3 linked regions of the Anolis sagrei genome follow. The protein of the gene in region 1 binds, or shares a complex with, the protein of each later gene. Links are inferred from orthologs where the notes say so. Each region holds a gene or a part of one and is shown on either strand. Other genes may lie near its edges.

The links.
Region 2: MKS1 (region 1) and CEP290 share a complex: the UniProt entries of both Homo sapiens proteins name them as parts of the tectonic-like complex. The link is inferred for Anolis sagrei from reciprocal best matches to the Homo sapiens genes MKS1 and CEP290.
Region 3: MKS1 (region 1) and TMEM216 share a complex: the UniProt entries of both Homo sapiens proteins name them as parts of the tectonic-like complex. The link is inferred for Anolis sagrei from reciprocal best matches to the Homo sapiens genes MKS1 and TMEM216.

Annotation. Positions count from the first base shown.
Region 1 is NC_090031.1:28,096,610-28,100,364, reverse strand, and holds the start of MKS1 (tectonic-like complex member MKS1), read left to right. Parts: upstream 1-1,186; 5' UTR 1,187-1,285; coding exon 1,286-1,365; intron 1,366-2,584; coding exon 2,585-2,688; intron 2,689-2,775; coding exon 2,776-2,843; intron 2,844-3,743; coding exon 3,744-3,755. UniProt on the Homo sapiens protein: Component of the tectonic-like complex, a complex localized at the transition zone of primary cilia and acting as a barrier that prevents diffusion of transmembrane proteins between the cilia and plasma membranes.
Region 2 is NC_090025.1:152,526,810-152,530,564, reverse strand, and holds the start of CEP290 (centrosomal protein of 290 kDa), read left to right. Parts: upstream 1-1,135; 5' UTR 1,136-1,437; intron 1,438-3,755. UniProt on the Homo sapiens protein: Involved in early and late steps in cilia formation. Its association with CCP110 is required for inhibition of primary cilia formation by CCP110.
Region 3 is NC_090021.1:236,146,077-236,149,831, reverse strand, and holds the start of TMEM216 (transmembrane protein 216), read right to left. Parts: upstream 2,321-3,755; 5' UTR 2,060-2,320; coding exon 2,047-2,059; intron 1-2,046. UniProt on the Homo sapiens protein: Part of the tectonic-like complex which is required for tissue-specific ciliogenesis and may regulate ciliary membrane composition.

The sequences.
Region 1 (3,755 bases):
GAACTCTCTCCCCAGGGACATCAGACAAGCCCCAACATTGGCTATCTTTAGGAAGAGCCTGAAGACCTGGCTGTTCCAGTGTGCCTTTCCGGAATAGGAAACTCCTAGCTTAAGTCCCAAATGCACCTTAGAGATTCAGGATTATCTGCACTTGCACCTATCTCCAAATACCGCCTCATATTACCTGTCAAGTCCAGCACTTTTAAATTGTGTTCATTACATTTGGCCCGACCTGGTTTTAATTGCGTCACAGCGTCATTGTTACTATTTTCTGTTTTGCTTGATGTTTTATTATTTGCTTATGAGTTTATTGTGTATTGTATTTTGTATTGTTGGCGGCCTTTGTAAGCCGCATCGAGTCCTTTGCAAGGTATAAATAAAGTTAATAATAATAATAATAATAATAATTGACTGCCAACTGTAAACCGCCTCGAGTCACCTCTGGGTTGAGAGGAGCGGTATATAAATATGGCAAATAAATAAATAAATATTCTATATATTGTATATACATTATTTTATAGATATTTGTGCTATATTTTATACCATGTATTTTATATTTATTTTATACTATATATTTTATATGTTATTATATATTTATTGTATATTATATTTTTACTCTATATTTTTATTTATTTTATACTATATTTAATTTATACTATTTCACACTGATTCTATACTATACATTTTATACTTGCATATATAAGATAGGATATACACACAAGTTATATTTATTTCTATTCATGCAGAAAGATATACAGAGGCGCTTAAAGCATATACATGCATAGATATCTCTCTATTTAAAGAGACACACACACATAAATAAATAAATACACATTTTCAAAAATCACTCTTCTTCTTATTACTCTTACTCTTAAGCCATACCATAATACTAATCCTGAGACTTACCCTCCTGCTTTTTCCCCTATTTGTCCTCCTTCCTCCTTTCTTTATCTCTGAACCTTCCCTCAGCCTCTACTTCCTTCTCTCTTCCGCCTTCTCTATACGCGCGTCGACGTCATGGCGTCACTTCCGCTTTCCCAAATGCCTGTCATTTCTGTTTCTAGGTCTTTTCCCCCACCGGACAACGACTCCCATGATGCTCCAGGGAGACAGAGCCGGGCTCTACAATGTTAACTGCTGCGCAAAGGATTGTGGGGGTTGGAGTTCAATAGAGCCAGATACTTTTGAGAACCGCAGCCATCTTGCCGTCTCCATGGAAACGCGGCCTAGCAGGAACAGCGCAGCCTGAGACTCGCGTAGGAAAAAAAGAAAAAAGGCTCTGGGTATGGCAGAGGCGGCGTGGAATGAGGACACCGGCGTCGCCGTCTATCGCTCCCGGGACCCCATCGGCAACCTCCGCGTCCGGTGAGGCCTACCGCCATTTTAATCGCCCCTTTTCTCCCGTGAGGCCTAGTGCGGACTCCGGAGCCTTCGCTCGAGTTGGGCGCCACTGTTTCTTCTTCAACAAAACACCTCAGGGAGAAAGGGACTCCCACAACCAGAGATAGATAGATAGATAGATAGATAGATAGATAGATACACATATACATATGAAAACAGTTTCCATATGAAAACATATGGAAACTAAAAAAAAATTAAAATATATTTTCAAAATTTATTAATATTATTTATTATGTATATTGTATGTTATATATTATAGAAAATTATATTGTAATATATTTATAATAATAATAGTAATTTTATATATTGAAATAGATTAATAATATTTATTATATTTATTTAATAATATTTATTATTATAAATTGTATGGTATATATTATAATTTACATTGTAATATATTAATATTATTTATTTTATATATAATGTATATATTGTAGATTTATACTGTAAAATATTATTAATATTGTATATAATAGGTTTCTATTGTAATATAGTAATATTATTTATAAATAAAATTTATAAAATATGTGATGTATTATACATTTTTCTATATTTATAACATTATTTATATATTATGTTATATATTATATATTTATAATCTATAGTCATAATATTATATTTTACAGATTTATTTGGTAATGTATTATATTTTATATATATTGTATATTATAGATTTATATTGTAATATATTATATATTACGTATTATGTGTTATACATATTATAATGTGTATTATATATTAAGTGTTATATATTATAGATTTATATTGTAATAAGTTAATAATATATATGTGTATCATATTAATGGTTTATATACTGTAATATATTAATATTATTTACTATATATTATATGTTATATAGATTAATATTATATACATTATTATTATATAATATGTTATATATTATAGATTAATATTATATTAATAGTGTTATTTATATACCTGTTATAGATGTTATATATTGTAGATTAATGTTTTAATATAATTTTTATATATTGTACATGTTATAGATTAATATTATATGTTAATAATATGTATGATATATGTTGTATGCTATATTTTATATACCTATATATATAGATAGGTATATTATATATATATGTATACACACAACACACACACACACATTATTTGTAGTAGTAGTATTATGTTGTGAGAGGTTGGCTCTTCTTGTCCTCCCACGCAGGGTCGGCCTCCAGCGGGTGACGTCTACCAGTCTTCTCCTTCAGCAGCTCCAAGCCTCCTCCGGCCAGCAGCTCATCGGCTTGGCCACCCTTGGCCCTGTGGCAAGTGAGTGACTGCTTTGGGCTTTTGGGCCGGGACCACATTGGCCAAAGCCGCATGCTTGACCCGTCGGCCTACTCTTGTGTCTTTCAGGTGCCCCTTGTCCGGAGGAGGAGCGCGAAGAGGTCGTAGTTGGATGGCAGGAGAAGCTTTTCAGTCAGGCAAGTCTATGTCGAATGCAGAGATATTATATATATATTTATAGATACACACATGCACATAGATATAATATCTATAGCCATCTATCTTTGGCTGAATGGCCATCTATTGGGAGGGTTTGGATGGAGAAACTCTTCTGCCAGGCAAGTCTAAGTCGAATGCATAGATATTATAAACACATACATATATATGTGTATAGCCATCTATCTTTGGCTGAATGGTCATCTGTTAGGAGGGTTTGGATGGAGAAGCTCTTCCGCCAGGCAAGTCTATGTCAAATGCATAGATATTATACATACATGTGTGTGTGTATTTCTACGTATATATGTATATATGTAAATAAATATATAGCCATCTATTTTTGGCTGAATGGCCATCTGTCGGGAGGGCTTGGATGGTGTCTTCCTTTAAAGCAGAAGAGGGTTGGACTGAATGGTTCTTGGGGTCCCTCCAACTGTAGGATTCTCTGATATACATAATATATATCTCATATATCTATATCTACCTAGATATAGATATTCTGTGGCCATTTATCTGGATGATCCTTGAGGTCCCTCCAACTGTAGGGTTCTATAACACACACACACACACACACACACACATATTCATTCATTCTATGGCTATCTATTGGCTGAATGGCCACCTGTTGGGAGGGATCGGACAGTGTCTTCTGTTAAAGCAGAAGGGGGTTGGACTGGATGACCTTTATATATAAATATACACATAAATTATAACATTGTCACAGTCACCTTTTAATATATATATATCCCATATATTCTCATAACATTCTGATGGCTCCTGTTTTCAATTCTATACTTATGTACAGCAAAAAATTCTGTGGTCACTTCTCCTCTGCCCCAATCATACCATTTCATTCCTTCTTCCGTCCCATGTGCCCTCAGTTCGAGGTGGAC
Region 2 (3,755 bases), on another chromosome or scaffold:
AGAAAGAAAGGGGTAGAGAATGAAGGAAGCAGAGAAGGAAAGAAAAAAAGAAAAGGAAGGGAAGAGGGAGCGAAGGAAGAAGAGAAAGAGTGAAAAGGGGAGGGAAGGAAAGAGAGAAGGAAGAATGAAAGCAAAGAGCGAAGGAAGGAAAGAGGTAGAGAAGGAAGAAAGGAAAGAAAGAGGAAAAGAAAAGGGGGGATAGAAAGAAGGAAGGAGAGAAGGAAAGAAAAAAGGAAAGGAAGGAAAGAGGGAGCGAAGGAAAGAGGGAGGGAAGGAAAGAGAGAAGGATGGATGGAAGCAAAAAGCAAAGGAAGGAAGGAAGGAAGGAAGGAAGGAAGGAAGGAAGGTGAGAAAGGGAAGGAAAAGAAAAAGGGAGGAAGGAAAGAGGCAGAGAAGGAAGGAAGGGGAGAAGGAAAGAAGAAAAGGAAAGAAGGAGAGAAAGAGGGAGGGAAGGTTGGTCACAGCAACGCGTGGCGGGTACAGCTAGTTATGAATATGAAAATATTCCAAAATCCAAAAATATCTGGTCCCAAGCATTTCAGATGAAGGATACTCAAACTGTAGGGTCTGAACACGGGTCTTCACCAGCGTCACGTGTGAACACTTTCATGGGAAACCACCCACTTTTTTTCTGCGATGGCCACCTCTAGCAATAGATGGAAGCATTCCTCTCACTTAACATACAGGTAAGCCTTGTGAGATGCAGAAAACAGGGGCAGCCCTACTACACCGCCCTGAGTCTTTCTAAACCCTCTTCCTCCCTCTAAAGATGCCAGGAACCCTCTCCTTACCTTTTAGCACATTACCGCCCTTGGCAAGAAGCCGGCACAAGCAGCCCTGCTTCCCACATTAACTCGGAGGCTCTGCTGGAGCATCTCTTCCACCATGTCTCTCTCCAGCCCCTGAACATGAAAAAGCAACTGGAGACTCCCCTCTCGCACTGCGCAGGCGCTGACTCTGTCTCCCCCTACGGCGTGACGACAGAGCATGCTGAGAAGCCGCTCTGGGGGGAAAAAACTCCACGTCCCAGCATGCTAAGCGGCCGATGTTGTGAAAGTCCGCCTCTCGGTAGTGCGTAGAGCACTGTGGGTAGCGTAGTCTTCGGCAGGACATTTTGTGGGAGGTTAAAGAATATCCGGGTTCTTTTGAGCCCGGAAGAGAAGTGTTTGATGGCGTCGCCCAGCAACGGCCATCTCTCCTCCTCCTTCCTCCTCTTTGTCAACGGAAGCCAGGGGAAAGGGGAGTGAGCGGGAAGGGCGGGAGACGCTTGAGCAGGATCAGCGCTGCCTTTGAAGGTGTCGGTTTTACAGCCGCGAGGCCTTGTGGTCGCCCAAGGAAGGCTTAGGGTGAAGGCCCTGCCGCCCTTCAGCCATTCTCTGTGAAGTAAACCTACTGACAGTTTAAGAGAAAGTACCGGGCCCTGCGCAAACTATCGAGGTACTATTCGTATTATTATTATCGGGTTGCTGTGAGTTTTCTGGGCTGTATGGCCATGTATGTATGATGCAGCTAAACATCAAAAAAACCAAGATTATGGCAACAAGAATGATTGACAACTGGAAGATAGAGGGAGAAATCGTGGAGGCCGTGACAGACTTTGTATTTCTAGGTGCAAAGATTACTACAGATGAAGACTGTGGCCAGGAAATCAGGAGACGCTTCCTTCTTGGGAGGAGAGCAATGTCCAATCTCGATAAAATAGTAAAGAGTAGAGACATCACACTGGCAACAAAGATCCGCCTAGTCAAAGCCATGGTATTCCCTGTAGTAACCTACGGATGTGAGAGCTGGATCTTAGAGAAGGCTGAGTGAAGGAAGATCGATGCTTTTGAACTGTGGTGCTGGAGGAAAGTTCTGAGAGTGCCTTGGACTGCGAGAAGAACCAACCAGTCCATCCTCCAGGAAATAAAGCCTGACTGCTCACTGGAGGGAAGGATACTAGAGACAAAGTTGAAGTACTTTGGCCACATCATTAGGAGACAGCAAAGCCTAGAGAAGACAATTATGCTGGGGAAAGTGGAAGGCAAAAGGAAGAGGGGCCGACCAAGGGCAAGATGGATGGATGGCATCCTTCAAGTGACTGGACTGACCTTGAAGGAGCTGGGGGTGGTGACGGCCGACAGGGAGCTCTGGCGTGGGCTGGTCCATGAGGTCACGAAGAGTCGGAGATGACTGAACGAATGAACAACAACAATGGCCATGTTCCAGAAGCATTCTCTTCTGACGTTTCGCCTACATCCATGGCAGGCATCTTCAGAGGTTGTGAAATCTGTTGGAAACTAAGCAAGTGTAGTTTATATTTCTGTGGAATGTCCAAGGTGGGAGAAAGAACTTTTTGTCTGCTTGAGGCAGGTGTGAATGTTACAATTAGCCACCTTGATTAGCATTGAGTAGCCTTGCAGCTTCAAAGCCTGGCTGCTTCCTGCCTGGGGGGCTCCTTTGATGGGAGGTGTTAGCTGGCCCTGGAGCCCCCGGTGGTGCAGTGGGTTAAACCCCTGTGCCGGCAGGACTGAAGACCGACAGGTCGCAGGTTCGAAACTGGGGAGAGGCAGATGAGCTCCCTCTATCAGCTCCAGCTCTTCATGCGGGGACATGAGAGAAGCCTCCCACAAGGATGATAAAAACATCAAATCATCCAGGCATCCCCTGGGCAACGTCCTTGCAGACTGCCAATTCTCTCACACCAGAAGCGACTTGCTCCTGACACAACCAAAAAGAAAAGAAAAGCTGGCCCTGATTGTTTCTTTTCTGGAATTCCTTTGTTTTTTGAGTGTTGCTCTCTATTTACCATCCTGATTATAGAGTTTTTAAATACTGGTAGCCAGATTTTGTTCATTTTTGTGGTTTCTTCCTTTCTGTTGAAATTGTCCACATGCTTGTGGATTTCAATGGCTTCTCTGTGTATCCTGACATGGTGGTTGTGAGAGTGGCCCAGCATTTCTGTATTCCCAAATAATATGCTGTGTCCAGGTTGGTTCATCAGGTGCTCTGCTATGGCTGACATCTGTGGCTGAATCAGTCTGCAGTGCCTTTCATGTTCCTTTATTCGTGTTTGGGCGCTGCTTTTGGTGGTCCCTATGTAGACTTATCCACAGCTGCATGGTATACAGTAGACTCCTGCAGAAGTGAGAGGATCCCTCTTGTCCTTTGCTGGAAATAGCATTTATTTGATTTTCTGAATGGGCCTGTAGATAGTTTGTAGGTTGTGTTTCTTTATCAGCTTTCCTATGTGGTCAGTGGTTCCCTTGATGTATGGCAAGAACACTTTTCCTCTGGGTGGATCTTTGTCTTTACTCTCGTGGCTTGTTCTCGGTCTTGCAGCTCTTCTGATGTCTGTGGTGGAGTATCCATTGGCCTGTAGAGCCCGGTTTAGGTGGTTCAGTTCATCTTGGAGAAGGTGGGGTTCGCAGATTCTTTTTGCATGGTCTGCCAGAGCTTTAATTGTGCTTCTTCTTCTTCTTCTTTTTTACTTGGGTGATGTTTGGAGTTTTTATGTAGGTATCTATCCATGTGTGTAGGTTTTCTGTAAACTCTGTGGCCCAATTGTTGATTGGGCCACACAACACTCAAAAATGGGAATTCCAGACAAGAAACAGTCAGGGTTAGCTAATCACTACCCAACAAAAAATTCCCCCAGGTAGGAAGGAGGCAAGCTTTGAAGCTGCAACGCTATTCAGTGCTAATCAAGGTGATCAGTTGCAACATTCACACCCCCCACCCCCACCCTGACTCATTGTTTGAAGATTTCCGCTTTA
Region 3 (3,755 bases), on another chromosome or scaffold:
GTCAAATTAATGCAGATTGACACCACTTTAACTACCACTGCAAAATCCTATAGGATCCTGAGGCCCCAGCATTCTTTTGGCAAAAAAGGACACATCCCTTGTAAAACTTACTTACTTACTTACTTAGGCGATCCCTCGTTGGACGAGTAAGATGGTCTTCCATTATGGATTTCCTTGTGGGTCCGTAGGTGGCTGTGGAGCCCTATTCTTGCTCTGCATCTTCTTCCGCAGTGAGGGCATTGGTTTCCAGGTGGAAGGCGTTCCCGGTCGGGGTTGGCTTGACGCGCCTTCCTCCTGGCACGTTTCTCTCTTTCACCCTCCACTCGTGCCTCCTCGAATTCTGCAGCACTGCTGGTCACAGCTGTCCTCCAGCTGGAGCGCTCAAGGGCCAGGGCTTCCCAGTTCTCGGTGTCTATGCCAGAGTTTTTAAGGTTGGCTTTCAGCCCATCTTTAAATCTCTTTTCCTGTCCACCAACATTCCGTTTTCCATTCTTGAGTTCGGAGTAGAGCAACTGCTTTGGGAGACGGTGGTCAGGCATCCGGACAACGTGGCCGGCCCAGCGGAGTTGATGTTGGAGGACCATCGCTTCAATGCTGGTGGTCTTTGCTTCTTCCAGCACACTGACGTTTGTCCGCTTGTCTTCCCAGGAGATTTGCAGGATTTTCCGGAGGCAGCGCTGATGGAATCGTTCCAGGAGTTGCATATGACGTCTGTAGACTGTCCACGTCTCACAGGCATATAGCAGGGTTGGGAGGACAATGGCTTTATAGACAAGCACCTTGGTCTCCCTACGGATGTCCCGGTCCTCGAACACTCTTTGCTTCATTCTGGAAAATGCTGCACTTGCAGAGCTCAGGCGGTGTTGTATTTCGGCGTCGATGTTGACTTTGGTGGAGAGGTGGCTGCCAAGGTAGCGGAAATGGTCCACATTTTCTAATGTTACACCATTAAGCTGTATTACTGGCATTGGAGAGGGATTGGCTTGTGACTGCTGGAACAGCACCTTGGTTTTCTCAATGTTCAGTGACAGGCCGAGCTTCTCGTATGCTTCTGCGAAGGTGTTTAGAGTGGCTTGTAGATCTTCTTCTGAATGCGCACAGACGACATTGTCATCAGCATACTGGAGTTCTATAACAGATGTTGTTGTAACCTTGGTTTTGGCTTTCAGTCTGCTGAGGTTGAATAGCTTGCCATCTGTCCGATAGATTATTTCCACTCCGGTGGGAAGCTTCCCATCAACAAGGTGAAGTATCATAGCGATGAAGATGGAGAATAGAGTTGGGGCGACAACTCCCATAATTCCATATTGAGCTATAGCAGTTAAAGTGGTGTCAAACTGCATTAATTCCGCAGTGGAGATGCACCCCATGGCTGGCTAAGAGTTATAGGCAAGTGCCCAGAATGGAAGGACCCTCTCACATCACACAGTCAGTATCCGACTTCAGCTGCCATGGCAACATGCACTGGAATCCTATAACTCGAAGCTTAGGATGAGGCATTGTTAGCCAGAGAGATCACCTGGTACCCTTGAACAAATTATGTATTTCAATAGATTTTGATGGTTTTAGCTATTTCAATAGTTTATTTATTTATTTATTGCATTTCTATACCGCTTTTCTCACTCCTAGGGGGACTCAAAGAGGTGTACAGCATAATAATTGGCAAAAATTCACATAAGAATAAAAACAATACATGACAAATCTTAAAGCAATAACATATAACTGTAAATTAAAATCATTAAAATCGTCAGACATGATCGTTTGCCAGTTTGTGTAGCTTTCAATTACCAATCTTGTAAGCAGTGCAATATTTGATCTAATTTTAGTGTGAGAGTCTCCATACTGCTGAGTCTGGATCTTCCATACATTAGGAGTCCTGACTGCAGAGAGGTTTCCCTTTCTCCTCCCCCAGTTTCCCTTCCCTTCTCTTCCTTTCTGCCTCCCCCACTTCCTTCCAGGGACACAGCTCGTCCTCACATGATACTGAGTGCATCTACACTGTAGAATTAATGCAGTTTGACCTCTCCAGTCCCCGCCACCACTTACTGCGAGGCGCCATCTTCCATCTCCATGGACACCAACTACGCAGAAAGCCTGCGGCCGGCTGCTACTTCTCCTCGCCCGGATGTCAATCTGTGCCCCACAGAGAAGGGCCTGACTTAGGGATGAAGACGTCACTTCCGCTATGGGATCGGAGCCGCTCTAGCCCTGGACTTCTCAGGCTCCAAACACAGGCCGGTCAGTGTGGCGCGAGTCTGCATTCGATGCCGGAAACAACGACGTGGACTCTAAAGAGGAAGCCGCTTCGTCCTCACAAGAGCCCGACAGGGGTCGCCTCCGTTTCCATAGTTACCCCTTGGCCCCGCCCCTCGCCCCCACCAATCAGGGGGCGGAAAAAGGCCTCCCATAGCAACTAAGCAGAACTAAGAACCAAGAAATAAGCAGCCCTTCAGATGCATCTATATCAGGCTTAGGCAAACTTGGGCCTTCCAGGTGTTTTGGACTTTTGAAGTCCAAAACACCTGGAAGGCCCAAGTTTGCCCAGACTTGATCTACACTGTAGACTTTATTAATTGACCCCACTTTAACTGCCATAGCTCAATGCTATGAAATCTTGGGCTTTGTAGTTTGAGGAAGCAGTGGCACTCTGGCAGAGAAGGCTCAAGACCTTGTAAAACTACAGCTCCCACTATTCCTTTGCATTAAGCCATGGCAGTTAAAGTGGGATCAAACTATATTCATTCTATAGTGTGGATAAACCCCAAGATCCTGCTTGAAAACATCTTTACCGAAGGACTTTCCGCCCTTCTATTCCTTCATTTCTCCCTTTTCAGTATACAAAGCAACTTTTCACTGCTACAGCTTGTCTTGACTTCTATACCCCAGGATTTGAGTACGCACAGAATTTTGTGGTTGCTTTGTTTCAACAGCATGTTTCTTTCCCCTATTCCTGTCTTATCCCTGGACAATGGAAGTGCAGGCTGAGATTCTCTTATCAGAAATGTTTGGGACAAAGAATATTTGGGATTTTTATGGATTTCGAAATATCTACTTGCATATACACATGATGGCATGTCTTGGAGAGGGAGCCATGCTTAAACGCCAAGTTTATTTTTGTTTCTTATACTATTAAAAGAATTTTATATACAATATTTGTATTAATTTTGTGCATGTACAATGAACATAAGAGAGCAGCCTCCCATGTGAACAATTTAGTATTTTGGATTATTTTGGGATTCCAGATAAGGGATGCTCAACCTGTAACTTTTTCTTTCTCGTGGTTCTTCTATAATGGAGTATTACTAAATTAAACAACTTAGTTTTAAGACAAATACTAGACTAGACAAGCAGGGAAACATTCTTCATATCAATAATAATAATAATAATAATAATAATAATAATAATAATAATAATATCAGGATAGTGAAAGGAAAGATTAATACAAAATAATCACATTATAGTTTCTGGAAAAAAGTTTTATTTTCTCATAGTTAATAAAAACACAAGTACAAAAGACAAGTCTAATAAGTCCTCGAGAGTATGTTTGCCCAGATAAAAGCAATATTGCAAAGCTAGAGGATTGTTCTTTTATGCTTAGTTGCATTGCCAGTGGTACTAATGAAGGCAAGAGGCCTTTTTGACAAACGATGTGGAACACATGATGAGGGAATATTCTTCAAAGAGAAAACTGCTACTTGTTGAGTTCTTGCCAATCCCATTTGGCACTTCAGATTGTTCCTCAGTAAGGCTGCAGC